Stegostoma tigrinum: one gene and its partners. The protein of the gene in region 1 binds, or shares a complex with, the protein of each later gene. Links are inferred from orthologs where the notes say so. Each region holds a gene or a part of one and is shown in the gene's direction. Other genes may lie near its edges. The genes, in order: serine/threonine-protein phosphatase 2A catalytic subunit alpha isoform, arpp19a, ppme1 and ppp2r3b.

Region 1 (7,144 bases):
CTCCAGCCTCATCTTCCAGCAGTCCAATGTCCATCCTTGCCTCTCTCTTTAAAAATGACTTTTGCAACATTTTATATCACTAGTTAGCTTAGCATCATATTTCATCTTCTTCCCCACTTGTTTCTTTCTTAGTTATCCTCCTTCTGGTTTTTGAAGGCTTCTCAGTCCCTATGATTCCCACTAATCTTAGCCAAAATTTTTGTTAGATAATAAAATGTGAGGCTGGATGAACACAGCAGGCCAAGCAGCATCTCAGGAGCACAAAAGCTGACGTTTCGGGCCTAGACCCTTCATCAGAGAGGGGGATGGGGGGAGGGAACTGGAATAAACAAAATTTTTGTTTTTACTTTTGCTTTTCTGCTGTCTCTGACCTCCCTTGTCAGTCATGTTTGCCTTGTCCTAGTCATTATCCTTGTCCTCCTCAGTGTGCTTTTTCCTTTCTGGGGATGAATTTCTGCTAAGACTCCTGAATTAACCCCAGAAACTCCAGTCATTGCTGCTCCACTGTTTTCCCTGCTAGGCTACCTTTCCAATCAATTCTGGCCAGCTCTTCCGTTATGTCTTTGTCGTGACCTTTTTTCAATTGTAATATCAATATATCTGATTCAACCTTCTCTCTCTTAAACTGCAGGGTGAATTCTATCATATTATGGTCACTGCCCTTTAGGGGTTTCTTCCCCTTAAGCTTGCTAATCAAGTCTGCCTCATTACACATCATCAAATCCAGAGCTGCCTATTCTCTAGTGAGCTCTACCACAAACTGCTCCAAAAAATCTCTTGAATTCCATGAATACTTTTTGTTGGGATCCACTGCCAGCTTGATATTACCAGTCAACCTGCTCATGATGTCCCCCATGATTATTGTTAATAGCATCTTTCTTACATGTTTTTTCCGTCTCCTGTTTATTTTCTGCCCCATATCCTGACTATTGCTAGGAGGCCTGCACGTTAGAGTCTTTCTTTCTTCACAAATTGTCAACTCTAACCCCAACTCAGATTTTGGAAAGATGGCAGCAAAGTAGGACGCTCCACCTGGAGCCCCTCTGCTCCACCTGTTCTTTTTCTTTCTTTTCAGCAATCCTGGAGCAGTGTGCAGAGAAGCAGTCCCTGAACAATGCGAGGGGAAATGAATCCCAGAGCAGCGTGAGGGGAAACAAGTCCTGGAGCATGTGAAGGGAAAGGAGTCCCGGAGCAGCGTGATCGGAATGAGTCCTGGACCAGTGCCACTGGAAGCAGTCCCGGAACAGCACGGGGGGAAACAAGGGCTAGAGCAGCACTAGGGGAAACGAATCCCTGAGCAGCGCGAGAGGAAGCAGTCCTTAAGCAATGTGAAGGGAAATGAATCCCAGAGCAGGACGAGGGGTATGAGTCCTGGAGCAGATGAGCGCCGGTCGGAGTGGACTGGAGGCTTGGAGCAGAGAGAGGCAGTTGTTAGACTAGGTATTCTGACCACATGCTGAGCTGCTGCTGTTTGGAATTTTTTATTAGACGGTAATGTCAATTGTTTAACTATGTCATAACTATCACATTTCTAATTTTTTTGGACACTGTAAGTAGTGCTAATACTTTTCCTTTTATTCCTGTTTTATGTTCAAGATTTGTACCTATGTAATTGTAAGATGGCGCCATTCTATACTTCTGTACCGGAGTACATGTGACAATACAAGATATTCTATTCTGTTCAGCCTTTACATCTTTAAACTCTATCACTAGAGTTATATAGCATGAAACAGGCCCTTCAGTCTAACTCGTCCATGCTGACCAGATATCCAAAATTAATCTAGTGCAATTTGCCAGCATTTGGCTCGTTTATCTCTAACCCATCTTATTCATGTACCCTGGATGAACACAGCATCCAGCCTCACATTTTATTATCTTGGATTCTCCAGCATCTGCAGTTCCCATTATCACTATTCATGTACCCACCCAGATGTCTTTTAAATGTTGTAATTGTACCAGTCTCCACCACTTCTTCTGGCAACTCATTCCATATACACATACGACCCTCTGCGTGAAAGAGTTGTTCCTTAGGTCCCTTTTAAACATTTCCCCTCTCACCTTAAACCTATCCTCCCACCTCAAGCCCCAACCCCATCTCCTACCTACTAACCTTATCCCGCCCCCTTGACCAGTCAGTCCTCCCTGGACTGACCTATCTCCTTCCTACCTCCCCACCTACACTCACCTTTACTGGCTCCATCCCTATCTCTTTGACCTGTCTACCTCCTCTCCACCTATCTTCTCCTCTATCCATCTTCTATCCACCACCCCCTCTCTCCCTATTTATTTCAGAAATCCCTTGCCTTCCCCCATTTCTGAAGAAAGTCTAGGCCTGAAACGTCAGCGTTCCTGCTCCTCGGATGCTGCTTGGCTGTCTGTGTTCATCCAGCTCTACACCTGGTCATCTCTTATACCTATGCCCTGTAGTTTTTAACACCCTACCCTGTGAAAAGAACTTGGTTATTTACCCTAAAAAAATTGCCCCTCATGATTTTATAAACCTCTATAAGGTCACCACTTAGCCTCGGATGCTCCAGTGAAATTAGCCCCAACCTCTTCCAAAAACCCAAACCCTCCAACCCTAGCAACATCCTTGTAAATTGTTTCTGAACCCTTTCAAGTTTAACATCTTTCTTATAGCAAGGAGACCAGAATTGAATGCAGTATTCCAAAAAGGCCTTACCAATGTCCTGTACAGCGCAACATGAACTTTCAACTCCTTTGCTCAATCAATTTAACTTCATTTCTTTATTTATAAGGCAACCCCATTCCCTCTGCCCATCTCCTGTCCTTTCGACAGGATGTATATCCTTGGATATTTAGTTCCTAGCCCTGAATCCCTTGCAGCCACACCATGCCTACAACATCATATCCAATTTCCATCTGCACGACAAACTCATTTACCTTGTTTCATATACTGCACGCATTTAAGTACAACATTTTCAGTCCTGCATTCACTGCCCCCCTTCTCATAGTTGTCCCCTTATCTGTTGTGCTTGGAGTTTCATTCCTGACGCTTTCCATACTCGCTGTCCTGTTACTTGGTTCTGGAAACTTTAATGGCCTCTGCAACTTTGAACACCATCCCTTAAAATTTTCTATAACTTGCCATGCAACAAAACCCACCCCCACTTCCCTCAGTTTGTTACTTTGATCATAGCTGAGCTGGTTTCCGGAAAATACATATATGATCCAAGCATAGAATCACATACCTATTCACTCATATTTTATATTGTGGTCTGTTAGACTAAACCACTTTTGTTTAGCACCATTTTACACTCCTTCAGTCGAGTTTACTTCCAATCATTCATTAGATGACAATAGGCTAGATTCTTTTTAGGCCATATAGTGATGAGTGACTTGTTGGCCTATACAATAACAATGGACAGTGGTGTTGAACCTTACAGTGACTGCAGAAAATGATGTTGAACTATATAGTGACCTTTGGTATGTTGGTCTATACAGTGACCATAGACAGTGATGTTGGACCATACAGTGACTGTAGATGGTGATACCAGGCCATACAATGACTGGGACAGTGATAATGGACCATACAGCGACTGTAGATGGTGATACCAGGCCATACAATGACTGGGACAGTGATAATGGACCATACAGTGACCATTGACAATGCTGTTGGACCATACAGTAAGTGTCAAGAGTGATTTTGGACTGTAGAATGGTCATAGACAGTGAGATTGGACCACTCAGTGACCATGGACATGTTGGTCTACACAGTGACAGTGAACCATACAGTGACCACGGACAGGGATGTTGCACCATCTTGTGACTAAACAGTGATACCAGATATACAGTGACTATGCACAGTGACGCTCGACTATACAACGGCATGAACACTGACAGTGGACCATATAGTGACCATGGACACTGTCACGAGATCATATAGTGACATGGACAGTGACACTAGACTATATTGTGACATTGGACCATAGTGACCATGCACACTGACACTAGACGATAGGATAGAGTTAACATGGACAGTAATAATTGACCACACATCACTCTATGCCGCTGCGACTGTGTTGGATCCGTGCACATGCGCTATCCTTCATGCTCCCCTTTCCCGGTTGGGGGAGGGAGGGGAAATGCACGCGCCTGCGCAGAGCTCATTGCAGCGGGGCGGCGGCCATTTTGTGGGATAGAGATCCAGAGCCGGAGGGAGACAAGGGGTTTGATCAGCTCCCGACGGCTCAACTACCAACGATCTTCACAAATCTTGTTCGGCAGTTTTTTTAAAATAAAGGAAAACTTATACACATTTTCCAAATTCAGGGTGATAAAACTGCTCCTTGATAAAGATCCGTCCTGTTGCTCCAGCGGGTACTCGGGTAAAAGGGAGCAATGGATGAGAAGGCGTTCACCAAGGAGCTGGACCAGTGGATCGAGCAGCTCAACGACTGTAAACAGCTGACCGAAAGCCAAGTGAAGACGCTATGTGAAAAGGTGAGGCCGCTAAACCAGCTCTATCTTAACCCTCCTCGGCGAGTGGCTCGGTGACTGGTCGCCGTCCCCGGTGGGCGGCCTAGTGCGCGATCCTCGGCGGAAAATGTCGGCCGCCTCCGGTTAGCGCTTAACGCGGCTTCCTCACTTGGGAGTTCCTTAACCCTGGCTCTGAAAAGAATGATCCGCCGAAAGCACGAGAAACATGGGTTTGTTTGTCGATGGCTCTGAGGTCAGGGGGAGCCGGCTTCTCTCTGCCGCAGAAAGTCGGCTTTCACGGCAGACCGACCTAAAATGGCGCCTTCCGGGACTGAGTTTCCAGCAGCCGGAGCCCAGCAAAATAAATCCCGTTATTGTTCCAAATAATGACCATTAAATACACCCATTCTCTGTCCTCGCCTCATCCCCAAATAGAATATTAACCATTTACCGTATGTCATATCTCAAGTGTAGACCTTTTTGGAACTGTTATTTTTATTTTCGTTTTTGAGTTCTGTGTGATCTTGTAAAATTGTAATGTATCTTAGAATGGTATTATAAGTGCGATATTAGTACTGTTACTCATTGAGTATTTAATCCTTTTTTTGTGTATAACTAATGTTACGGAAAGTGTACTGTTTGAGTAGTACGTAACAGCAGAGAGCAGCAAGAAGCGTCTTGAATGGATTGAACTGATGAAAGAAAATGGCATTTTGTATTGGAAGTTGTGTAGCACAGTTGCTTTTGGGTATTTCACTGAAGTATCGGTGCTAATGTCAGGTGTTGTTTTGAGAGATTTCAATCATTTTGTTATGATTGACGTCTTTGTAAATCAACTATTTTCGTACCACTGGCTGAAATTTGGGAGTAGATCATTCTTTAGCCATCGAATGCCTTTCCTTGGTTTGTCATAGTCTTTTGAAATTACACCATTAAGCAACAATGGTGTACAGGAAGGTGTGTGCTGTAACAACAAATTGACGTCATTGGATGGAATGCACATGCTTGCATTTTCAGTCCATTGTTTTCTTAGTAACTTTGAAAACCAATAAAATCAGCTTTTTTTTGACTGCTACCATTCTGCAATGTTTATCATGCGTTTGAAAGAAAAAGTCCTTAACAACATTAAATCTAAAAGTACTAAAAAATTTGACACCAACTCCTAATGTGGAATTCCAAAGTCAGAATGTGATTGGCTGCCTTAAGAATGCAAGTCTCGATCACATTATCAAATTGTTCAATTGTGTCATGAATTTTGTTTGATCATTAATATGATTGAAAGTTATATGTAATTTGAATTAACTGGATATTCCTTTTGGAGTGGCTTTGTCATTTTGACTTAAGATTTTTTTCTGTCTATCTGTAATTAGCAGTGAGTTCAAAAATTACTTCTGACCTCATTAATTCTAGCAGTCAAGCTTAGAAGTTGACCATTTAATGTTGACCAGTTTTCTCCAGTGTATATAAGTTTTAAATGTTTGGATTGACACATAGTTACTCTTATGGTAAAATGTATCTGTGCTTGGATGGTAGAAAATGATACGATTAATAAAATCAAATATGAATTTCCTCACTGACCAAAATGGTGAAATTCCTTCACTTTGCTGTTCAACCAAGACTATCCTCTTTCCGCCCCAGCACCCCCCCATCCTCCTCCGTTATGCAAAAAGGTAATGATTGACTTGTGACCCAACCTTCAGTTTATTCAGATTATACTAAAGGGGATTCCTGAGATAGAGGGCAAAGACTGTTAAGGAAGCAAAAGTGAGATTCTATAAATGGAGACTGGAAATATTCCAGATATTTCTAATCAAGCTGATCAGGTGGGACTTGAATCTGTGTCCTCTGGCTCAGAGGGTGGGACAGTATCACTGAGCCACAAGACTTGCACTGGCAGTATTGCATTTGTAGTCAGTGAGCACACGGTAATAAATGATTGTAACCATGTAAGTTAACACAGGCAGCAGGGTGTTTAGTGACCTTGTATTCGTGTGGAGTAGAACTTGGGAGATCATGAGTACGTTGGAATATTAATAAAGGCATGAAAGATGGTACAGTAGCAAATGAGATAAGGGTAATTTTAGATTGTTATGAAGGTGGGAAATGTGGTTGCACAAATGCAAAGTTGCTGGAAAGCTCAGCCGGTCTGGCAGCATCTGTGAAGAAAAAAGTGTTAATATTTCAGGTCTGGTGACCCTTCCTCAGAGCTGGACCCAAAATGTTGACTGTTTTCTCCTTCACAGATGCTGCCAGACCTGCTGAGCTTTACCAGCAACTTTGTTTTTGTTCCTGATTTACAGCATCTGCAGTTCTTTCGGTTTTTACAATGTCAGAAGCTTAGCTTGGGAATCAGCTGCATTTTAGTGTTGTAGTACCATGCATTGCTACTCTTCAATATAACAAAAGCAAAATACAATAGGTGCTGCAGGAAATCTGAAACTGATGTAGAAAATGCCAAAAATACAGAGGTTCGGCAGCATCTGTGGAGTGATACAAATGAGTTTTTCTGGTAATGTTCTTTCCGGCGGACAGATTTTCGTTTAAAAACTTGGTTTTAATGTTGCAGTGCATATTTGCATATCCTGTGGGTAAATTTGTTATGTGGCTGCCCAGGTGAAACATGGGATATTGGTGTTGATGCTAGCTTCAATTTTTGTTTTCTGCTCGCTGGCAGTTTGATTCCCTTTATCGAGGCGGGAAGAAA
Region 2 (7,578 bases), on another chromosome or scaffold:
CTGTCCCTAATTGTCCAGAATGTAGTTAAGAGTCAACCACATTGGATTGATGATACAGGGCTTTTAATTTATCAGACTTCCTTTCATTTTCATTCAGCTGTTCATTCATCTTCATGAATTGTTCAGAAGAATTCCCTGAAGACTTCTTCAACTCAGAGATTGTATTCTCATGCTTAGATTTATTTTCACAAACAGCATGGCAAGACTCTTGCTAGACAGTGGTGAGTTCCCAACTGACACTCATTATTGCTTGATAATCATCATGTTATCACTCTAACTTGCAATAGGTTGTGATCTTATCAAACCATACAAACTAGCAGTTTGGATAATTTCACATTGGAAACCAGAGTGGGTCCTTCGCCGGTTCAAATCACTACTTGCTCCAAAAGATTGCAATGTTAGACACTGGGCACAAAATCTTGGGCATTCTCCATAGGCACCAGCCACACACGCCCCAAGTCTTTAGATGCTGACAGCCAACATGTGCCAGCCTCTATGAACCCCAGAGGCACATCTCTGATTTACATACAGGACTCTTCTGCACATCAATGTTACAGCTCAGACTGTCCCAGTTACTCATGTTTGTAATGCTGTAGTAAGGACACTGTGCATTTGGGGATAGGCATCCAGCTCATGGACTGGGCCAGGTTGCATCACCAAGATCTTTGCTTGTTCTCATAGTGCCCACTTGCTCTGAGCCTATCTGTATATTCACAACATCCCTGCCATGCATTATCTTGCCTTAGGCTATTTTGTGCTTTGCCTGCACCCTGTTCTCCCTTCACCCACTATTACACCACCTGACTTGATTCTTTCTGCCCTGTTGTGGTCTCTTATATCCCTGAAATGAGAGAGATGCAGATATTATAGATGATGAAAGTGGGGGTGGCTGAGTGGTTAGCACTGCTGCCTCACAGTGTCAGGGACCCAGGTTTGATTTCCCCGAAGGGCAACTGTCTCTGTGAAGTTTGCACATTCTCCCTGTGTCTGTGTGGTTTTCCTGCAGATGCTCCTGTTTCCTCCTACAGTCCAAAGATATGCAGGTTAGGTGGATTGTCCAGGTTGAATTGCCCGTAGTGTTCAGGGATGTGTAGATTAGGTGGGTTATAGGGGGTTGGTCTTGGGTGGGATGCTCTAAGGGTGGTGTGGACTTGTTGGGCTGAAGGGCCTGTTTCCACACTGTAGGGATTCTATGGATGTCACAGCTGTTACTGTCGATGCAGCTGGAGAGCTGCCCTGAGCAGAGGTCGCGCAGGGTTAGTGTTGTCAGGGGTCACGGTGGGTGTCAGCGAGGGAAGATATTGCAGGCAGTAGTGACAGTGATTGAGCATGACCCTTGGTGGGCGGTGGTTGCAGTAACAGTGATAGAGTGGAGGTTGCTTTCAGAGGGAAGATGATGCCACTTTCACTGGCAGAGAGGAGAAGGACATTGACTTTCTTTTTGTAGTGCTAGTCCAGACAGCCGAACTGCTCTATTCTGGGTGGCAAGCTTGGAGCAGATTGGCATGGTCTGGTGTATGGCCTCCCCTGCAGGTCCCTGGGGGGAGAACTCATCCCATCTGTGTCCCACCTTGTCCATCAAAACGTCCAGGAACATGTGCATAAAACAGGCCACCAATTTATCCCTGTCTGCCATGTCTGGGTGAAATGTCAGGAACCATGAGGGCAACTCTGGAAAGGCAATGCTTCGCTAGAGCTCAGCCCGCCTTTATATGTGGCACCAATATCAGGGATAATGATCAATTCCAGAATCTCCTGTGAATGGTACATTGCTCTGGAAATGTCACATGACAAGGTGGGGCAGAAGTGAACACGATATTTGCCATAAGGGCGTGAACACTAATTAATGCAAAGTGTTTGGTAAGATATGGCAAGAAAACACCCTCGTCCTTAAAGCAAGAAGCACTCCACTAAACTTGACGAGACTTGCATTTAGCCAAAAAACATAAGATTCAGCAAATAGATTCTGTGGGCTTCTGTCTAAATGACATGAATTCTAATCACTGGATATGAATGTTTAATTTGACGCTGGATTGGTCTTCGAATGTGGTACATATCTTTTAGGATCTTTTAGCTCTTCAGCCATTAATTCTGATGTATATGTCTGTATAGACCTTCATACCCAACTACTAAGTAAATTTTAAAGGCTTGGTTTTCTGAATTTGACATACATAAAACTAGAAACTACATGCTATATGCTGTTTAAACATTCCAAAATTCTGTTAGGAGGTCTGCTGTGTCCCAATTTAATCAAGATAATTTTTGCAGACATTCTGAAAATATGCCTGTGGCTTTTCTTGCTTTCTGTTTTGCAGCTACACTTGACTTTGTCAAGTTAGCTAAACTGCTTCTTAAAAGGGATATGTCTGCTTTTCTATCAGCTATGTTATTAAAGCTCTCTGATGCTGTAGCAAACAAAACATTGAGAGTTTTCTTATGAACTTTAGCAAGACTTGAGTGTTGACCATTTGTTTCACTTGTAAAATAACTTACTTGCTAACTAATCAAGCATAATAGTCCTCTTTGGCTAGATATTTTCATTGACGTCCACAATGTCATATTAATGATAATGTTCAACTAATTAGTCACTGGCCATGGACTGATTAACTCTACAGATCATTGATTTAAACAGGAAAGCACATTATAAATTTTGAAGAGATGTTACAGGAAATTGAATGATTTGTATGTGCAGATTGCAAACCTACAACAGACTATCTGGCAGACAGAGTCTTAGCATTGCATGCAAACAACACTTGGAGTCTTTAAAGGTGAACTTTCTTACAGGTAGGTTACACATGCAACAGGAAGCAAGCTAGTAACATTCCCTGTCATTTGTTTTGCTGCTGTGCAGACATTCAAGTTCTGTATGGGATAGTGGTATCTGGAAGCAGAAGTCATTCATCAGCACACAGATCAATGGTCGTGAAGCATCCCGGCAGCTTTTCACCTTACAGGAAATATTGCTAGCCAGGACAGCATTGGAATAGTCAATCTCGAGTTGGCAAAGGAATTAATAAGGGTTTCAGCAGATGATCTGAAAGTAAAGTGGCATCAGGCAGTGTAATGGGGCAGAAGTAGGTAGTCCTGGGATTGTTTGGATGTTTATCTCTCATCAAAACAACACCCAGGTTATGAATATTCTTGTGAAGATCAAACAGTTGCTAGAAAAAGGGATGGTGATAGTGTCTTAGCCTTCCCAGTCTCTCATTTCTGCTCATCCAGGCATCATAGAATCCATATGGTGCAGAAAGAGGCCGATCAGCCCACTGAGTATACACTGACCCTCCAAACACCCCCCCCCCAACCCTATTCCCGTAACCTCACATTTATCATTGCCAATCTGCCTAATCTGCACATTTTAAGACTGAGGCGGGGAAACCAAAGCACCTGGTGGAAACCCATTCGGACATGGGAAGAATGTGCGGACCCCACACAGATAGTTTCCCAAGGCTGGAATGGAAACCTGGTCCTGTGAAGTAGCTAATCACTGAGCTGCTGTGCTGCCTCTACAAATCCTGATTCCCTGAACAGTAATGGTGAGACTGTTAAATCCTAACCACTAGATCACCAGGGAAGGCATAGTTGTGTACAAACAATTACATGCAGAGTAATGTGTCATTTAATTTATTCCAAGCTGTTTACTTTATTCCAAACATTGCTACTGCGTAAAAATGCATTTTTTGGTTATGGTTCCACTATTAACATTGACAGTTCCCTTAATCTTGAGGTACAGTGGCTAGCACTGCTGCCTCACAGTGCCAAGGACCACGTTCGATTCCACCCTCGGGAGCCTGTCTGTGGGGAGTTTGCATGTTTTCCACATGTCTGTACAGTTTTCCTTTGGTTTCATCCCATAGTCCAAAGATGTGCAGGTTAGGTCATTTGACCAGGCTAACTTGCCTTATAGTGTCCAGGGATGTGCAGGCTGTGTGGGTTACTTTTGGTAAATGTAGGGCTAAAGGGATAGGGTCTATGGCCTTCAGAGGGACAGTGCAGACTCAATGGGCCAAATGGCCTCTATCCGCACTGTAAGCATTCTATGATTTGACTTGCATTTTCACTGATAACCCATTCCCATCTCCGTTTGTTTTGTGATTTTGTTCTCTCATCTTTCCTGCGTTCCGCCAAATAACTGATGGGAGGGAAATCCAGTAGGAAAACACAGTGATATTTGAAAATGAACTTTCCACCGGGAATGGCGACATTGTACAGTTGACACTGAAAAGCAAAATCTAATTCTAATTCTACTGGTTGTATTGCTCCCCTACTTCTAAACACGATGAATCAGACCATTGTGTTTCATTGTCTATTGTTGAGGGGGAAAGGACAAGAAACTACAATTCCCAGAAGCAACCGCACTTGACGTCACTAGACGGACGTTGACCTGATGCGAGGTTAGGACGAGAAGAAAATCCTTGATGTTGTCAAATGAAAATCAAATAAAACTAAATATACATTTAGGTGGATTTAGAAAAAGAAAGGTTGTTATTAAAAATCACTGAAGTAGTTTCTAGAATATGTGACGTTATAAATGTGGGCGGGGTGACGGGAGTGCGCCTGCGCAGACGGCAGTGCGGAGGGATACGCTTCGGTTCAGATTCGGTTATCCAGCGCTCCCTCTGAGACCAGCGGCGATGTCATCAAGGAACGAGGTAGTGAGGCGGTCTGAGGAAGCTTCGGGTGAAGAACGGCAGGTAGGATACCGCGGCCCGCACCACACCGGCATGGCACCCGGGGGGGGGGTTACCGCGATCTGGGGGCGAGGCCGAGGCCGAGGGTCCCTATTGCTGCAGGCAGGAGGCTGGCTATACTTCGATCGCCGGCTGCATAAAGCTGCATTAGAGGCAGCGTCGCGCCAGCCGCCCACTTCCCCCTTGGGGAGGGCTGCGCTTAGGCCTGTGCCCGCGGATGGGGGTCTTCTCTTGGAGTTGCCGAGGGAGAGTGGAGCGTTTCAGATGGAGGTTGAGTGTGATACGGTGGGGAGATGGAGGGCGAGGTCTGAAAGGGTATGGGGTCGGGTCGGGGGAGGCGGAGGTAGTGGCGGTAGGAAAATAGGATGGGCAGGAGGCTGGGGAGGGTAAGGGAAAGGAAGGTTTTTTGGGGGGAGGGGGCGGGAGATGGGGGAAGGGAAGGTTTTGTTTTGGGGGGAGGGGGCGGGAGATGGGGGAAGGGAAGGTTTTGTTTTGGGGGTAGGGGGCGGGAGATGGGGGAAGGGAAGGTTTTGTTTTGGGGGGAGGGGGCGGGAGATGGGGGAAGGGAAGGTTTTGTTTTGGGGGGAGGGGGCGGGAGATGGGGGAAGGGAAGGTTTTGTTTTGGGGGGAGGGGGCGGGAGATGGGGGAAGGGAAGGTTTTGTTTTGGGGGGAGGGGGCGGGAGATGGGGGAAGGGAAGGTTTTGTTTTGGGGGGAGGGGGCGGGAGATGGGGGAAGGGAAGGTTTTGTTTTGGGGGGAGGGGGCGGGAGATGGGGGAAAGGGAAGGTTTTGTTTTGGGGGGAGGGGGCGGGAGAGGGGGGAAGGGGCGGTTTTGTTTGGGGGAGAAGGGGGGAAGGGGCGGTTTTGTTTGGGGGAGGGGGAAGGGGTGGGGTTTTGTTTGGGGGAGGGGGGAAGGGGTGGGGTTTTTGTTGGGGGGGGGGAGGATAGGATGTGGTTAATTATTGGGAGAGGCAAGTGGCTGGGATGGAGATGCTGCTGGAGAGTGTGACATTGAATTGGTGTTAAATGGTTGACACTGTAGGTCCTGTTGTATTTGTACCCTGGTCCCCACTCTGCTTCTAACCATGAGGAGTATTAGCCATTTTATAGAGAGTGCTGCTGCCTCCATCTCCTGTGACATAATAAACTCTCTGCCCAATTGGAAAGATCGATGTGCAGGATTTCATGTGTGTCTATTTGCTTTTATGTTTACTGTATCTGCTGAGTTAACTTTAGGCCCTGATTTTGCTGATGCACTGCTCCTGAGTACAGTGAGCAGAATCACCTGCATTCCGATATAACGTGCTGTTATTGCACAAACATGAATTTAATTGGATTTTGCTGTTTTGCAATCTGATTTATGATGGAAAATGAAGGTTTTAATGTATTTGTTAATTACTTTCAAAGAACGTAGAAATTCAGCCAGCTGTTGTCGCGTTGGCGTGCTCCCACCCAGTCTTTTACAAATGATCATAAGGAATTGTGACAAGTTCTATTGAGTAGCTAATCACTAATAACCTGCACACTAATGCTTTTGTTTTGATTCTCCCAGTGTCTCTGCTTCACATTTTATTGACAACTTCAAACCAAGCATGACCATGAACTAATTGTGTGACATGTGACAACAATAAATCAATGTCATATACTGTACAGGCACATTGTACCATACAAAGTGCATCATGGTGACAAAACAGTTCAAAATACAATGTTCCAGGTGCAGAGAAAGAACAGAGTTATCATTTGAGAAGTCTGTTAACAGGGAGGCAGCTGTTCTTGAATATTTGTATATGGAAGAGAGTGTAACCAGGGTGGGAGGGGTCTTTGATTATGTTGGTTTCCCCAAGGCTGGATGGAAGGCTAGTTTGCATGATGAACTGGACTGTTTTCACAACTCTTTTGTAGTCTCTTGTGGTCTTGGGTAAAGATATTGCCAACCATGGTTGAAGCATCCAGGTAGAATAGTTTGTCGTGCATCTAGAAAAATTGAGGATCTCTGTGGGCATGCCATATTTCCATTATCTCTGAGAAAGTTGTGCTTTCTTGGCTGTCATGTTGATGTGAGTGGACCAAGACACACTGGTAATCATCACTGCCAGGAAGTTGACGCTCTCAGCCATATCCACCTTTGCAATGTTCATGCAGATAGGGCATGCCCTCTGCTCCCTGGAGCCCATAACCGCTACCTTCCTTTTTCTGATGTTGAAGGAGAGATTGTTGTCTTTCCACCATGCTGCTTAAATACTGAATTTCTTTCTTGCATTCTCTCTTGTTTAAAATCTGGCCTACAATGGTGTTGTCAACAAACTTCTAAATACAGTTAGGGTGGCATTTGGCCACAGTCATGTGTATATGGATATTAAGTCCATCAAGTTGTGCATGACGTCTTGGCTTGGGCTAAGTGGCAATTAACATTTATGCGCAAGTTCCAGGCAATGACGATCTAGATGTTCTGATGTTAAACCTAGTAGATGTTGAAAGCGACTTGGTGTTCAGGTGCATAGATCTTTAAAATGTTTCGGACAGGTACAGAAAATAATCAAGAAATCTAATGGAATGCTGGCCTTTACATCTAGACAACTGGAATGTAAGGATGTGGAACTTTGCAGCTTTACAAAACCCTGGTTAGACCTGACTTGAAATCTTGAGCAGATCCAGGTAACGCACGATAGGAAGGTTTTCTTGGCCTTGGAGACAGTGCAGCATGTGTTTAAAAGAATGTTACCTGGATTTCAGGGGTTACGTTATGATAGATTTGTGTAAGTTATGCCTGCTTTCTGTCGAATTTAGAGGGCTATGGGATAATCTGGTCAAAGCATTCCATCTTCTTAATAAGAAAAGACAGGGTAGATAATGAACTGTTTCCACAGGTTTGGGATGTAGTCTGGGA
Region 3 (7,194 bases), on another chromosome or scaffold:
TTGATGTGGAAAGTCTTAGGGCCTGGATGGGGGTGAGGGGGCAGGTATCGGGGCAGGTGTAGCATTTGCTTCGGTTGCAGGGAAAAGTGCCAGGTGTGGTGGGGCGGGAGGGGAGTGTGGAGCAGACAAGGGAGTCATATAGAGAGTGGTCCCTCCGGAAAGCATGTAAGAATGGGGAGGGGAAAAATGTTTTTGGTAGTGGTGTCAGATTGCAGATGGCGGAAATGTCAGAGGATGATGTGTTGGATTTGGAGGTTGGTGGTACTTGAAGACGAGGGGGATTCTGTTTTGGTTATTATTGCAGATAGAGGGTCTGAGGGATGAGTTGCGGGAAATGCAGGAGACACAGTCGAGGGCATTTTTGATCACTGTGGAGGAGAAGTTGTGGCCCTTGAAAAAAGAGGATGTCTGGGATATTCGGTAGTGGAATGCCTCACCTTGGGAGCATATGCAGCGGAGGCGAAGAAATTGGGGATAACGGATGGCCTTTTCACATGAAGGTGGGTGAGAGGAGGAATATTCTAGGTAGTTGTGAGAGTCAGTAGGCTTATAATGGATATTAGTTTCCAGTTGGATGCCAGAGATGGAGACAGAGAGGTCCAGGAAGGAGAGAGAGGTGTCAGAGATGGTCCAGGTAAACTTAAGGTTGGGGTGGAAGGTGTTAGTAAATTGGATGAACTGTTCGAGCTCCTCGTGGGGAAAATGAGGCGGCGCTGAAACAATCATCAATGTAACATAAGAAGAGATGTGGTTTAGGGCCAGTGTAGCTTTGAAAGAGGGATTGTTCCAGGTATCCTACAAAGAGGCAGGCATAGCTTGGGCCCATGCGGGTACCCATGGTCACTCCCTTTGTCTGTAGGAGCTGGGAGGAATTAGAGGAGAAGTTGTGGGCGAGAACAAGTTTGGATAAGCGGATGAGGCTGTCATTGGAGGGGAACTGGTTGGGCCTGCGTGACAGGAAGAAGCGGAGGGCCTTTAGGCCATCTGCATGGGGAATGCAGGTGTATAGGGACTGGACATCCATTGTAAAAATGAGGTGTTGGGGACTGGGGAATTGGAAGTTCTGGAGGAGGTGGAGAATGTGGATGGTGTCATGGACATAGGTAGGGAGTTTCTGGACCAAGGGGGAGAAAATATAGTCCAGATAGATGGAGATAAGTTCGGTGGGGCAGGAGCAGCTAGTCCCCACTTCCCTAACCATTCCTCCCTACTCAAGCCCCACCCCCATCTCCTACCCACTAACCTCATCCATCCTCCTTGACCTGTCCATCCTCCCTGGACCCACCTATCCCTTCCCTAACTACATTCATCTTCACTCACTCTAACCCCACCTCTGACCTTTCTGTCTCATGTCACTCTATCTTCTCCTTTATCCATCTTCTATCCACCTCCCCCTCTCTCCCTGTTTATTTCAGAATCCCCTTCCCCTCCCCATTTCTAAAGAAGGGTCTCAACTTGAAATGTCAAACTTTCCTGCTCCTCTGCTGTGTTTATCCAGCTTCACACTGTTATCTCAGATCCTTCAGCATCGGCAGTTCCTACTATCTCTGCAAGAATTTCTGCAGCCATGGTTTTAGAGATGGAATGCTAATGGAATTTTTTATTTACATTTGGGTCAGTTTTAAGACAAGTTTTATGTTGAAGAGAATTTGTCTGCTTTCAGTAAGAAGCGTCAAGAATTGACTTTTCTTTTGCTTAGGGAACACACATAGCTTGGAAAACTTCTAGTTTCAGTTTGCAGAAGTCCTCATTGAAGTTAGATGTTTGTAATAGTTTATCCTAGAAAAAGGAGTTTAGAACAATTTGGAAATAGCTTAGATCAGTGTAATAATTTTAGATTGAAAATTCCAGAGCAGAAATGTTTGGAATCCTGCAGAGGCTATTCAAAATCAAGGAAGTACAAACTCATCAATGTGAATACTCTGAGGAAACACTACAAAACTGTCAAAAATTAGAATTGAAAGCAACAGTCAAGTCAAAACTATCGATGTAATAGAGAAGAAAACTCTATCTGATGTTTGAGTACTATAATGTGATACTGTTGGGATACGTCAGATTGTATTTTTACAGTGCTGTGAAATCTTTTAAATTGTGTCATTTGTTAGAGCTTGGTGTATTACATTTTTTTCTTTGCTGTAGTAAACTTCTGTTCATTGTCAAGACCAGATCTGCAGTGCTTGTGTTCCAGTGATGGACTATCTTGTCAAATAAAATCTGTCAAGCCAGATTACTTGTTCAACAATAACATCAGTTGGGATCGTGACAATGATCACATCCTAATATCTTTTATTATGTTTCCTAATCAGAAGAAAACTGAGAGGTACTTTTGTTTATTGTTTCAAGAGATGTAAATATCACTAGTCAGCATTTGTAACCCATCTCTAGATATCTTTGAACTGAGCGGTTTACTCGATCACCTCAAAGGGCAGCTAAGAGTCAACAGCATTATTGTGGAGTCACATGTAGGCCACACCATGTAAGGATGGATGATTTTCTTCTCTGAAAGGCAGTTATGAACTAGGTTTCATATTTCCATGATAATAAATAGTTTGTTTCACAATTACCATTACTGATACCAACTTCCAATTCCAATTTTATTAATTTACTTTAAATTCCACCCACTGCTCTGATGCGATTTGAATCTATGTCCTGAAGACATTAGCCTGGGTCTTTCTATTACTAGACCAATGACATTTGTTACAATCCAAGATGAGGCAACCAAATTTATGTCATGATCGTTTAAGGAAACAATAATGTTTTGTTTTAAAATAGATGTAATACTGGGCAGAATCAATGTAATAAATGGTGGAACATCCTCTGCTTTTGCTATATTTTCCACAGGCTGTTGGCTTACATGGCACAAATGGAAATGGACAAATGGAATTTGTCATACATTACTTTGTATCACCTGCCTTTAATGTAATGACTTGCACTGATAAATCTTAATGAGCCGTTTGCTTCATCATCTTCTAGCTAGTGCAGACATACGAAAGGCTAATTACGGTCCTTCTGCACCTTAATAATTCTGTAAAGTTAGTGACTGAGTGATAGTTTCATAATAATGTACTTCCTGTTAGTGCTAATTATTAGACTTTCTGGGGTGATTAATTTACAAGAAGGTATTTAGAAGCAATTAGCAATTCAAAGTTAACATTTTAAACAGGTAAAATTTGATAAATTTTCTTCAAACGTTTTGTTGACAGTTACCTAACTGCCTTAAAATGAAGCAATTAATAGCTAGGATGGCTAGTTTTTTTTAAGAAATCTAGGATAACTGGATCAGGCAAAAAAAAGGTGACAGAAGATAAGGTAGGATTGTGTTGAATTGCATAGCAGGATTAAGACCCTTAAAAGACTGCTCCTTTTTTAAAATCTGTGAGTAGAATAATTAAAATTTGCAACATCATAGCTGTCATTTGGAAATTCCCTTCACCCTCCTGTTTAGCCTAGTGCAGTGCAATCTCCACATCTATTCAGATATGCCTTGCTTCCATTGCTGCTGGTTTTGGAAGAACCTCTTGGAAGTCCCACGTTCACACTGGGCATCCTGTCTGCACTATTGGGCATCTCACAATTTAGTGAAAGGTGTCGCATGGAAAATAACGGGTATTCTGTAACGAATATGCACAGCATGGAATAGAGTATCTGGAATCACTCATCGGGGCAATAATACGATGATTTAGATTCCGTGTTCTGTTCAAATTCGACTAACTTCTAAATTAACTGAGCCAGTTCAAACAGCAATGTGGAAGAAGAGTCATACTGGATTCGAAATGTTAATTCTGCTCCTCTTTGCACAGATGCTGCTAAACCTTCTGGGTTTCTACAGCATTTTCCGCGTCTGTTTAAGATTTCCAACATCCGCAGTACTCTTCTTATGCAGAATTGTTCGTTTACCCCGCCCCCTCATGATGGCAATAAACAGCCATCAAGCAGCTGGCAGGACCAAAACTTCCGTTAAAATTCAAACTGGTAACCAGAGCAACGGTGCGCCGGAATCTAAATATAAAACCTATAACTTCGACAATACTAAACAGATATCCGGGGTGCTGGTTAGCCATTACGTAATGTGATGAATGGTATTGTGGGGATTGTAGTCCTCTGCCTGTGCCGTGCTGTGTCTAGTTGGTGATAACGGGCACTGGGAGGACTACAAGTCCCAGCAGCGAGGCAACTGTGCAACGACCGCCTCTCTTATCGGAAGAGTAGGCCATCTTCAGGAATATAGACAGGACTTTAAAAATTTAATCCCAGTGTTCACTACTGGCGAGGATACTTTGGTGTTTATGTGGCGCCCATAAGTGCAAGACCGGAGCAGCCGCTTTTGAAGAGCTGCGGCATTACTCTGAGAAGATTATTAATTTCATTCTTTTAAAACAATTTATGTCTACGAAGCATGTCTTCTTTAGAGAAAGAATTGTTCCTGAGCAAATTGCCTTCGCGACCACCGATGCCGTCAGGTCCCCAGCATGGAGCTAAAATGAGAATGGGGTTAGTGTGCATGTAAGGTTTCTAAATTCAAACCGTGATTTCTGTTCGTTTTTCCTGCTGACTGCGTACGCCCAGTCAGTTTTTGAGGTGATTTTAAAGCAAGCGGAACTATGCTGTGTGTTTTTTTTGTAGTTTGGTTGATTTTGAGTTTTTTTAAAAAAATCACCTGTCATGTATCGTGTAAATGTACAGTTAAATAAGCTTAACCTTGTTTGTCATTTCAATACGTCTTCAGCAGAGACGAGTAGGATGGATGGTGCAAGTTTAACTTAGGTTTTTTTTAATTGCTTGCAGTATGGACTTCAGTACGACCCCACGGATTGATGCTTTCTTCCTCCTTTTTAAAGCAAAGTGTAGTATTAATTTTTTTTAAATGTAAGTGGAAAAATTCAGTTTTTATCTGTAACACATGCTAAATACAGCTTGTGATTGAACAATATGAAGGGAATACTTTATGACAAGTAAAATACTGTCATTTATGGATTTCTGAAATAAAAACAGAAAATGCTGGAAACTCTTTCGAGAGACAAACAGAGTTAATATCGCAATCTATGCCATTTTAGTTCTTTTTTCAGAATCTAGAATTGGGGAGCATAATTTCAGCATTCAGGGGTTACCTCTTTAAAACAAAAATGAGGAGTGAATCTTCAAAGAATCATGATCATTGGAATTCTCTATCGCAGAGAGCTCTGGAGGTTGAGTCATTGAATATGTCAAATGCTGAGGTGAAAAGATTATAGGAAAGCTGAGGGTTACGGGCATCAGATATATAGGCAGAGTCATTACTAAGATCAGATCAATCTTGAATGGTGTAGCAGACTCCAGGGGCTGTATGGCCCACTCCTGTTATCTCTTTTATATGTTAAATTAGCAACAGTGACAGAGCAGATTGCTAGGAAGAGACAACAAGGTGCAGAGATGAACAAACACAGCAGGCTAAGCAGCATTAGAGGAGCAGGAAGGTTGACGTTTCAGGCCCTAGACCCTTCTTTAGAAAGGGAAGAAATTGCTAGGAAAGACTGTTTTTGCATATTTTGACCCTTGTGTGTTTTGGTATTAACTGATTCTCTTGATGTCACTTCTGTGACGAGTAGCACACTAAGACAAGTATCATTTAAGTCTTTTGTCACTTAACTGTTGTAACGTTTTTATTGTGTTTTATTCATAATTAATTTAAATAGATTTTGCTAGAAAAGGAAGCTATTTAATGATTATTTATGTGGGATGGTCTTTGAGGTGAACTGAAATGATTTGGTATTCTGGTTGAGGCTGAATCTTTATGAAGAAAGCTGATTTTGAATCTAATTTATACCATTCATTAGAGTAGCGTTCATTTTGGAACAGCTTTAGCATTTAATATGCACCTAAAAAGTTTGTCTCACTACTTACCATGATGTATTGTTTTAGATGAGAAGATGATTCAACTGTCCTCTTTGTTGCTTGCAACAGCTATTTCTTTTCAACAATCGATTACCAATCCCTCACACCTACTCTCTTCCTGTTTTCTTGAATGAAAGAACAATAATTTTAATGCTACGTTTAAAGGGGAGACTGTCTGGTTTGTGGAGTACTTGAGATTGTGTAACCTGAGGCTTTGATGTGTTGTTTGTGTGTATCTGAATTCTCTAAGTTGATTTCCCCATTTGGCTTTTAACTGGCTGCTGTCTTTTGAAACAATGAGAATATGAACAAGGAAGGTCTTCTAGTTCTTGTTTATAATTCCATTTTTTTCCTTTTGTCTATTCTGGTCCTCAAAAGCTGTTATTGAACTATAGTTCAGTGTGTAATCTGGAGCCTGAATCCATTTTCTTTCTAAAGTGGTTAACTGGAGAGTGAGCTTTTCATTTCATTAAAATGTGAAGAAGAGATTTGATTTTCCTGATGCTGATTTAGTTGCCTGGTTTTGATGTCTTTGGACAAAATGGTAATTTCAGTGGTGATGAATTCATTTATTCTGCTCCAATTGAGACAAGATTTGAGACCTGTCAGGTGACCAGTGCAAACCAATTCATATTTCTTTCGTTCGTTCATAGAAAACAATTCAGCTATGAAAAATCTTTAGTTATGACAATCAGATGATGGAACTTATAATTCAGTAATCAAATTATTTAAAAGTCTGACATCAACAAGAACAATGCAGCAGTGTTGTTTGGCCTTTTTAACCACACTGATACCAAAACACAATGGAAAAGCCTGCTTCAGGCTCTCCCAACATACATTTCATGGAATACATTATCTTTAAATTGTTTCCAACAGTGATGGGTATGTAAAGAGTAATGCTTGGCCCTTGAGTTAAGACACTATTTTTGGCATCCATGTCTACCTGGAATGTGCAACTTGTAATTTGATTTTTACACAGTCCATGTAATATTAAATTTCCATCAACTGCATACTTTGCTGGAATCTTGGCATCAAAGCTGTATTGAAAAGTACCAGCTTCAATGGAAGGCGTAACTCATGAAGTGCATCATTCAGCCAGATCTTTGTTGAACTGTTAACGTTTTTATTTGTTGTTTGCTTTGTAGACAGCATATCTTTTTAAACTGCCAGCATCCAAATATGACACTTTACAAAATAGCAACAAATTACAACAAATAGGGATGGCACGGTGGGTCACTGGTTAGCACTGCTGCCTCCCAGCGCCAGATACCCAGGTTTGATTCCACCGTCAGGCGATTGTCTGTGTGGCATTTGCACCTTCTC
Region 4 (7,262 bases), on another chromosome or scaffold:
TTTTGCATTTTTGTGGAGAGAATAACACACAGATAACTGAGTCCAAAAGGGAACGTCCCTTGCACCATATCCCCATGGTAATTTGGCATAACTGAAATGCCCCAGATACAGATTCAAACACATCATCCATAATGTGCAAACATAGAAAATTGTAGCAAGAGAAAGCCTTTCAACCCTTTGAGCCAGCTCTGCCATTCAACATGATCAGGACTGATCATCCAATCCAGTACCACTAAAGTGGATAACCTCTCATTTATCCAGTTAAACTTTATCTGCCATACACTCACTCACTCAAATTGTTCAAATCACATTGAAGCATCTCTGCACTCTTCTTGCAGCTCACCCTCCCACCCAGCTTTGTCTCATCTGCAAACTTGGAGATGTCACATTTAGCTCCCTCGTTTAAATCATTAACATATATTGTGAATAGTTAGGGTCCAAGCGGTGATCCCTGTGGTACCAATAGTCACTAGCTGCCATTTGGAATACAAACTTTTTATTCCTATTCTTTGTTTCTTGTTTGCCAACCAGTTCTCAATCTACGTCAGTACATTACCCCTAATCCCATGCGCTTTAATTTTGCATGGTAACGTCTTATGTGGGACCTTATCAAAAGCCTTCTAAAAGTCCAAGCAAAACAAATCCCTGGCACTCCTTACAACAGTACTTGTTACATCCACGAAAATTTCGAATAGATTTGTCACGTATGATTTTCCTTACATAAATCCATGCTGACTCTGTTCAATTCTGTCACTGTTTTCCAAATGCTCTTCTAATAAATCTTTTATAATGTGCCTTAGACATTTCCCTACAATCACATCAGGCTAACTGGTCTATCCCTGTTTTATTTCTACCTCCTTTTAAAAACTGTTTGGTTACATTAGTTACCCTCCAAAGTCTACAAAATCTGGAAAGATGATCACCAACGCACCCACTATTTCTATGGTCATTTCCTTACATAATCTGGGATGTAGATTATTGGACCCTACAGATTTATCAGTTTTCAATCCCATCAATTTACCCTGATTTTCCCATCTGATTTCCTTCAGTTCCTCTGTCTCACTACACTGTCTTTCCCAACAGTTCAAGGACATTTTTTGGGTTATCCTTTGTGAATACAGAATGAAAATAATTATTTAATTGATCTGCCATCTCTGTTTTCTATTATAATAACCCCTATATCTGATTGGTGGCTGCTTCAGAGTGCCGGGGCCCTGAATTTGATTCCACCCTCAGGTGACTGTCTGCATGGAGTTTGCACGTTCTCCCCGTGTCTGCGTGGGTTTTCTCCAGGTGCTCCAGTTTCCTCCCACAGTCCAAAGATGTGCAGGCTAGGTGGATTGACCATGCTAAATTGCCTGCAGTGTTCAGGGATGTGTAGATTATGGGTCTGGGTGAGATGCAATGAGGTTCGGTGTGGACTTGTTGGGCTGAAGGGCCTGTTTCCACACTGTAGGGTTTCTATGAAAACTACACTTGTCTTTACAAGTGTTTTTTTTTCTTCACATAGTTATGGATGATCTTACAATCAGTTGGTAAAAAGATACAAGGGGCAGGTCCTTACCTCTGGGCTAAAAGGCCTGGGATCAAGGCCCACCTACTCCAGAGGTTGTCATGGTATGTTCTGAACAGGTTGATTAAAATCATCTGTAAGGAACCACTCCTTGTGGCAAGCTAACCAGTTTCTAACTTGTGAGCTAATATTAATGTGTACTTACATGCTACACCTCTTGATTTTTGCCCTCTGAAGTTTGTGCGCAGCTGCAATGTCCAAACATGTATATCAATGTGTCAGTCATGCAGTTCAGAAGAAACACTGCTTACACTCAAGATAATAAAATGTGAGGCTGGATGAACACAGCAGGCCAAGCAGCATCTCAGGAGCACAAAAGCTGACGTTTCGGGCCTAGACCCTTCATCAGAGCTTATTCCAAGATAATAAAATGTGAGGCTGGATGAGCACAGCAGGCCAAGCAGCATGTGCTCCTGAGATGCTGCTTGGCCTGCTGTGTTCATCCAGCCTCACATTTTATTATCTTGGAATTCTCCAGCATCTGCAGTTCCCATTATCTCTGACACTGCTTACACTCATGTATGTCTCACAGGAGGGTGCCACATTACATCAGTAATATAAACAGTCATTAAGGACTATGTATTAAAATTATTCTGTTCAACAAGACAGAGCCTCTCTTCTCCTGAAGGCTTTAAATGAATAGTCTTCTCCATGTGGAATCACTAAGTGTAGACTATTAGCAATAAAAAGAGTTGATGGCAGTGAATCTGCCCAAGGCATCTCAGATGGCCAACATAAACCATGCATATAGCAACGCAGATTTTGTAATATAGAACATGAATGATATAGAATTCTTCCTTTCACATTTTTGACGAAGGAGGAATTTCTTCCGTTATAGGGTGATGAATCTGTGGAATACTTTACCATAGAGGGCTAGCAAAGTTGGGTCATTAAGTACGTCCAAGGTTGGAGCAGACAGACTTTGTAAACTAAGGGAATCAAGGGAGATAGAGAAAAGGCAGGAACGTAGAATTGAGGATTATAGATCAACCATGATGTCATTGAATGACGGAGCAGACTCAATAGGCCAAATTCGATTCTGCCCGCAATTAAAAATAATCATGGCTGATCATTCAGCTCAATACACTTTTCCCACATTCACCTCATAATATTTGATTCCTTTAGCCCTAAGAACTATCTTCTTCATGAACACATTCAATGTTTGGCCTCAGCAGTTTTCTGTGGCAGTGAATTCCATTGGCTCACCACTCTCTGGAATGGAGTTGAAGATTATCAGATCAGCCAAGATCTCATAGAATGGTAAAACAAACTTAATGGGCTGAATGACCTAATTCTGCTTCTACAGCTTATGGTCTCATGGAATGAGTGCCTCCTGAGTTGCAGGCAATCACTGATTTGATGAAAATGATTTAGAAATTCTTGAAAGAATGATTCTTAAAAGGCTTGAGTTAAGCATTTGGAAAGAAAATTAATTAGAGACTAAAATAGAGTCATCACAGTTCTACCAGATAACAGGGCTGCTTTCTCACTCAGAGCTAGTAATAACTGCAATGCTGGAGTCAGAGATAACACAGTATGGAGCTGGAGGAACACAGTAGGCCAGGCAGCATCAGAGGAGCAGATTTCTGAAGAAGGGTTGTGATGTCAACTGTCCTGCTCTTCTGATGCTTCCTGGCCTGCTGTATTCCTCCAGCTCCACACAGTGCTACCTTAGGGCTGCTTTCTCAGATATTTTGTAACAACCTGTTCAGAGATGTTATGACACACCTCTGGGTCAGGTGGGGCTTAAACCCAGACCTCCTGGTCCACAACAGCCATCAGGGCTACTCTCTCATTACAGGTGAAATGTTGAGGACAGCGATCTGAGGTGATGCAGGTTGTTGAGTCTAGGCTCTGCATAACAAATCAACCATCCAATGGTATCAATGTGGACTTCACAAGCTTCAAAATCTCACCCCCCCACCGCATCCCAAAACCAGTCCAGCCTTGTCCCCGCCTCTCTAACCTGTCCTTCTTCCCACCTATCCCCTCCTCCCACCTCAAGCCCCACCTCCATTTCCTACCTACTAACCTCATCCCGCCCCCTTGATGTCTGTCCTCACTGGACTGACCAATTTTCTCCCTAACTTCCCACCTACACTCACCTTTACTGGATCCATCCCTGCCTTTTGACTTCTGTCTCCTCTCCACCTATCTTCTCCTTTATCCATCAATCCGCCTCCCACCCCTCCCTATTTATTTCTTCCCCTTCCCCTCCCCCAATTCTGAAGAAGGGGCCAGACCCGAAACGTCAGCTTTCCTGCTCCTCTGATGCTGCTCGGCCGGCTGTGTTCATCCAGCTTCATACACTTTGTTATCTCCGACCATCCAACCAACAGACTTAACCGAACCACTCAAGAAGGTCCAGAAACGGTGCAAGTCCTGAAATTGTGTGATATGTGCACATGCAGCGAGATTGGAAGACATGGCAATAAAAAAGAGCCCCCTTCATGGAAGACGTGCTGATAACCTGGAGCAAGGTGGCACCCTGAATGTCCCGGGCTCTTGCCACGTGCCACAACAAGGCGTGTATCATTTCTGCAAAGGCGGGAGATCCTCGCGTTGCCGGGGTGACCGAGGCGCGCGCGATTTGGAAGGGGGTAGCGGGGCGGAGGCGCTGTTCACGCGAGACCCGTTGTGCGGTCTGGGGGTGGGAGGGGCTGAAGCGGGGGCGGGGGGAAACAAGAGGCGTGAGAAGCTGGCTGACAGGCCTTTGGGGTAGGAAGGCGAGAGCAACAGGTAAGGTGAATGTGCCGTAGCTCTCGGTGTTGAGTTACATTAGAGTACCCTCCTATTCCCGTTGCCGTGTGCCATTCCACAGAGCGGCCTGCAGTAGCAGCTGAGGGCTGGATGGCATGGCAACCAAACGCCAGGCTTCAGTTCCCCCACATAGGCCAGCCCCCTTTTCTACGCCTCCTCCCTTTCGTATCATGTTTGCACTTCAGTCAGAACCATGTTGATTTTACGTTTTGTTTTCTAATCCACCTCTTCAGAACTGTTATGACAGCAACTCATATTTCGCTTGGGAACGCTGCAGCCCAGTGGTATCAACGTGGGCTTCACAAGCTTCAAAATCTCCCCTTCCCCCACTGCATCCCAAAACCAGCCCAGTTCGTCCCCTCCACCCACTGCATCCCAAAACCAGTCCAGCCTGTCTCTGCCTCCCTAACCAGTTCTTCCTCTCACCTATCCCTTCCTCCCACCTCAAGCCGCACCTCCATTTCCTACCTACTAGCCTCATCCCACCTCCTTGACCTATCCCCTCCCTACCTCCCCACCTATACTCTCCTCTCCACCTATCTTGTTTTCTCTCCATCTTTGGTCTGCCTCCCCCTCTCTCCCTATTTATTCCAGTTCCCTCTCCCCATCCCCCTCTCTGATGAAGGGTCTAGGCCTGAAACGTCAGCTTTTGTGCTCCTGAGATGGTGCTTGGCCTGTTGTGTTCATCCAGCTCCACACTTTGTGGTCTTGAACCCCAGCCTCCTTGTGCAGAGATAGGGACACTGCCATTGCACCACAAGAACCCTGGCAGCATTCTTTTAAAAAGGGATTTTTATAGGATGAAGGAAGTCGTTTTTAGCAAATCAAGTATTTTATTTGAAGCAAGACTCTGATTTTAGGGATGATTTCTATAGCTTTTTGACTTTACAAAAAAAACTACCCCCCCGTCCCTCTATACTGTGCCTAGTCCATGAATTTCCATCTTATTTTGCCCTGAATTAGTTGAGGGTTTACTTGTACCTCATGATTTTAAAACGACTGCCTTGCATATCCATGTTGAAGATTTTATTTTGTTTTGGTTGCCGTGTATGTGTTTTGCATAAAAGTGTAACTGTTGGTTTTTGTAAAATTATGTCTTGATGTAATGTTGATATAATTGATATTTGGGTGAATCCACCAATTTGAAATTGTAAAGAGCCTTTATAATATAACTCCTTTATGAGATGTGGGCACTACTGGATGGTCTAGCATTTATTGACCATCATTTATTGCCCTTTACAACGAGGTGACAAGCCATTTTCTTGAACTGCTGCAGTCCCATTGCTCTAGGTGGACCACAAAGCAGATGCAGAGGTATACAGCTTGGAAACAGATTGTTTAGTCCAACCCATGCTGACCAGAAATCACAATCTGACCTAGTTCCATTTGCCAGCATTTGGCCCATATTTCCCTCACTTTTTGTTCTCTGATGAAAGGTCTAGGCCCGAAATGCCAGCTTTTGTGCTCCTAAGATGCTGCTTGGCCTTCTGTGTTCATCCAGCTCCACACTTCATTGTCTCCGATTCTTCAGCATCTGCAGTTCCCATCATCTCTCTCCCCCTCATTCCTTCCTATTCATATACATATCCTTCTAAATGTTATTGTACCCATTTCCTCCTCTTCCCTGGCAGCCTCTTGTATACGTGCCCGTCCATCAATGTAGCTATTAGGGAGGCAGTTGAGGGCCAGTGATTTAATTCCAAGGATTTTCCTGTACATCTGCTGCCCTTCTTATAGATGATAAAATCATTAATAGGAGCAGGAGTAGGCCATTCAATCCCTTGAGCCATTTTGTAGGCTCATAGTGGATTCTGTTTCTGTTTGCTAGATCAACTAACAGCAGATTTCGTGGGATTGAAAGGTGTTAGGAGAGTTCCTGTGCTGCAGCTTGTATATGGTATATATTATATGCCACTTGCATAAGAAGTAAAAGTTGAGGGTGGTGGATGGGTGCTTACTACGAAGACCACTTGGTTCTGGATGGTGTTGAGCTCCTTGTTAGAATTGCACTCATGAGAGCAGAAATAGGATATTCAGGCTATTGAGTCTTCTGTGCCATTTGATGGGCTCATACTTGATCAAATAGCCGTGTGTTCCACTTTCCTACCTTTCCCCCATAACACAGGATGTCCTTGCTGTTTAAAAAAACTGCCTATCTCAGCTTTGAATGTATTTAATGACCCAGCCCCGGATATACTTAACAACCCAGCCCTGACTGCCCTCTGAAGTAAAGAATTTCACAGATTGCCCAATCTTTGAGAAGTGGGAAAAGATACTCCTTACTGCTGCCCAAAATGGGTGACCCCTTTCTCAGATTATATCTTCTGGTCTGGACTCTTCCCACAAGGGGAAACAACCTCTCCACAACTACCCTGTCAAGCCTGTCAAGAATCTTGCATTTCAGTGAGGCCATCTTGCATTTTTCTAAACTCTAATGAGTACAAGATACTTCAGTTAAATGCTGTCTTAAAGTTATGGGAAGTTACTCTTCCTTTATCTCTTGAGGACGTCAAGTTTATTTAAGAACATAGAACATTACAGCACAGTACAGGCCCTTCGGCCCTCGATGTTGTGCTGACCTGTCATACCGATCTGAAGCCCGTCTAACCTACACTATTTCATGTACGTCCATATGCTTATCCAATGATGACTTAAATGTACTTAAAGTTGGCGAATCTACTGCCGTTGCAGGCAAAGCGTTCCATTCCCTTACTACTCTCTGAGTAAAGAAACTACCTCTGACACCTGTCCTATATCTTTCACCCCTCAATTTAAAGCTATGCTCCCTTGTGCTCGCCGTCACCATCCTAGGAAAAAGGCTCTCCCTATCCACCCCATCTAACCCTCTGATTATCTTACATGTCTCAATTAAGTCACCTCTCAACCTTCTTCTCTCTAATGAAAACAGCCTCAAGACCCTCCCTCCATA

Evidence for each region.
Region 2: the proteins of serine/threonine-protein phosphatase 2A catalytic subunit alpha isoform (region 1) and arpp19a are in contact, whole or in part, in a cryo-EM structure (PDB 8TTB), measured with the Homo sapiens proteins. The link is inferred for Stegostoma tigrinum from reciprocal best matches to the Homo sapiens genes PPP2CA and ARPP19. Residues at the interface, in NP_002706.1 of Homo sapiens: Arg89, His118, Gln122, Gln125, Val126, Tyr127, Tyr130, Asp204, Asp205, Pro213, Arg214, Gly215, His241, Gln242, Leu243, Met245, Tyr265, Arg268, Cys269; in NP_001293124.1 of Homo sapiens: Phe60, Asp61, Ser62, Gly63, Asp64, Tyr65, Asn66, Met67, Lys69, Ala70, Lys73, Ile92, Pro93, Thr94, Pro95, Leu98, Arg101.
Region 3: the proteins of serine/threonine-protein phosphatase 2A catalytic subunit alpha isoform (region 1) and ppme1 are in contact, whole or in part, in a crystal structure (PDB 3C5W), measured with the Homo sapiens proteins. The link is inferred for Stegostoma tigrinum from reciprocal best matches to the Homo sapiens genes PPP2CA and PPME1. Residues at the interface, in NP_002706.1 of Homo sapiens: His59, Arg89, Gln122, Val126, Tyr127, Asp202, Ile211, Ser212, Pro213, Arg214, Gly215, Ala216, Gly217, His241, Gln242, Leu243, Met245, Phe260, Tyr265, Cys266, Arg268, Cys269, Thr304, Pro305, Asp306, Tyr307, Phe308, Leu309; in NP_057231.1 of Homo sapiens: Gly84, Gly85, Met157, Asp181, Val182, Thr186, Ala187, Ala190, Ser193, Met194, Phe197, Leu198, Leu291, Trp298, Trp301, Phe302, Lys316, Val323, Asp324, Arg325, Leu326, Asp327, Lys328, Thr331, Ile332, Gln334, Met335, Gln336, Gly337, Lys338.
Region 4: the proteins of serine/threonine-protein phosphatase 2A catalytic subunit alpha isoform (region 1) and ppp2r3b are in contact, whole or in part, in a crystal structure (PDB 4I5L), measured with the Homo sapiens proteins. The link is inferred for Stegostoma tigrinum from reciprocal best matches to the Homo sapiens genes PPP2CA and PPP2R3B. Residues at the interface, in NP_002706.1 of Homo sapiens: Cys20, His63, Tyr91, Tyr92, Arg135, Lys136, Tyr267, Arg268, Arg294, Arg295, Gly296; in NP_037371.2 of Homo sapiens: Met410, Leu432, Asp436, Cys439, Gln440, Met441, Leu442, Asp443, Leu444, Lys446, Glu450, Gly451, Lys462, Leu463.

Annotation. Positions count from the first base shown.
Region 1 is NC_081366.1:30,139,520-30,146,663, reverse strand, and holds the start of serine/threonine-protein phosphatase 2A catalytic subunit alpha isoform, read left to right. Parts: upstream 1-4,124; 5' UTR 4,125-4,362; coding exon 4,363-4,464; intron 4,465-7,144. UniProt on the Homo sapiens protein: Catalytic subunit of protein phosphatase 2A (PP2A), a serine/threonine phosphatase involved in the regulation of a wide variety of enzymes, signal transduction pathways, and cellular events.
Region 2 is NC_081386.1:19,785,133-19,792,710, forward strand, and holds the start of arpp19a (cAMP-regulated phosphoprotein 19a), read left to right. Parts: upstream 1-4,562; 5' UTR 4,563-4,634; coding exon 4,635-4,694; intron 4,695-7,578. UniProt on the Homo sapiens protein: Protein phosphatase inhibitor that specifically inhibits protein phosphatase 2A (PP2A) during mitosis. Inhibition of PP2A is enhanced when ARPP19 is phosphorylated.
Region 3 is NC_081359.1:92,327,280-92,334,473, forward strand, and holds the start of ppme1 (protein phosphatase methylesterase 1), read left to right. Parts: upstream 1-4,183; 5' UTR 4,184-4,396; coding exon 4,397-4,503; intron 4,504-4,770; exon of another isoform or gene 4,771-4,866; intron 4,867-7,194. UniProt on the Homo sapiens protein: Demethylates proteins that have been reversibly carboxymethylated. Demethylates PPP2CB (in vitro) and PPP2CA. Binding to PPP2CA displaces the manganese ion and inactivates the enzyme.
Region 4 is NC_081359.1:98,680,003-98,687,264, reverse strand, and holds the start of ppp2r3b (serine/threonine-protein phosphatase 2A regulatory subunit B'' subunit beta), read left to right. Parts: upstream 1-4,245; 5' UTR 4,246-4,312; intron 4,313-7,262. UniProt on the Homo sapiens protein: The B regulatory subunit might modulate substrate selectivity and catalytic activity, and might also direct the localization of the catalytic enzyme to a particular subcellular compartment.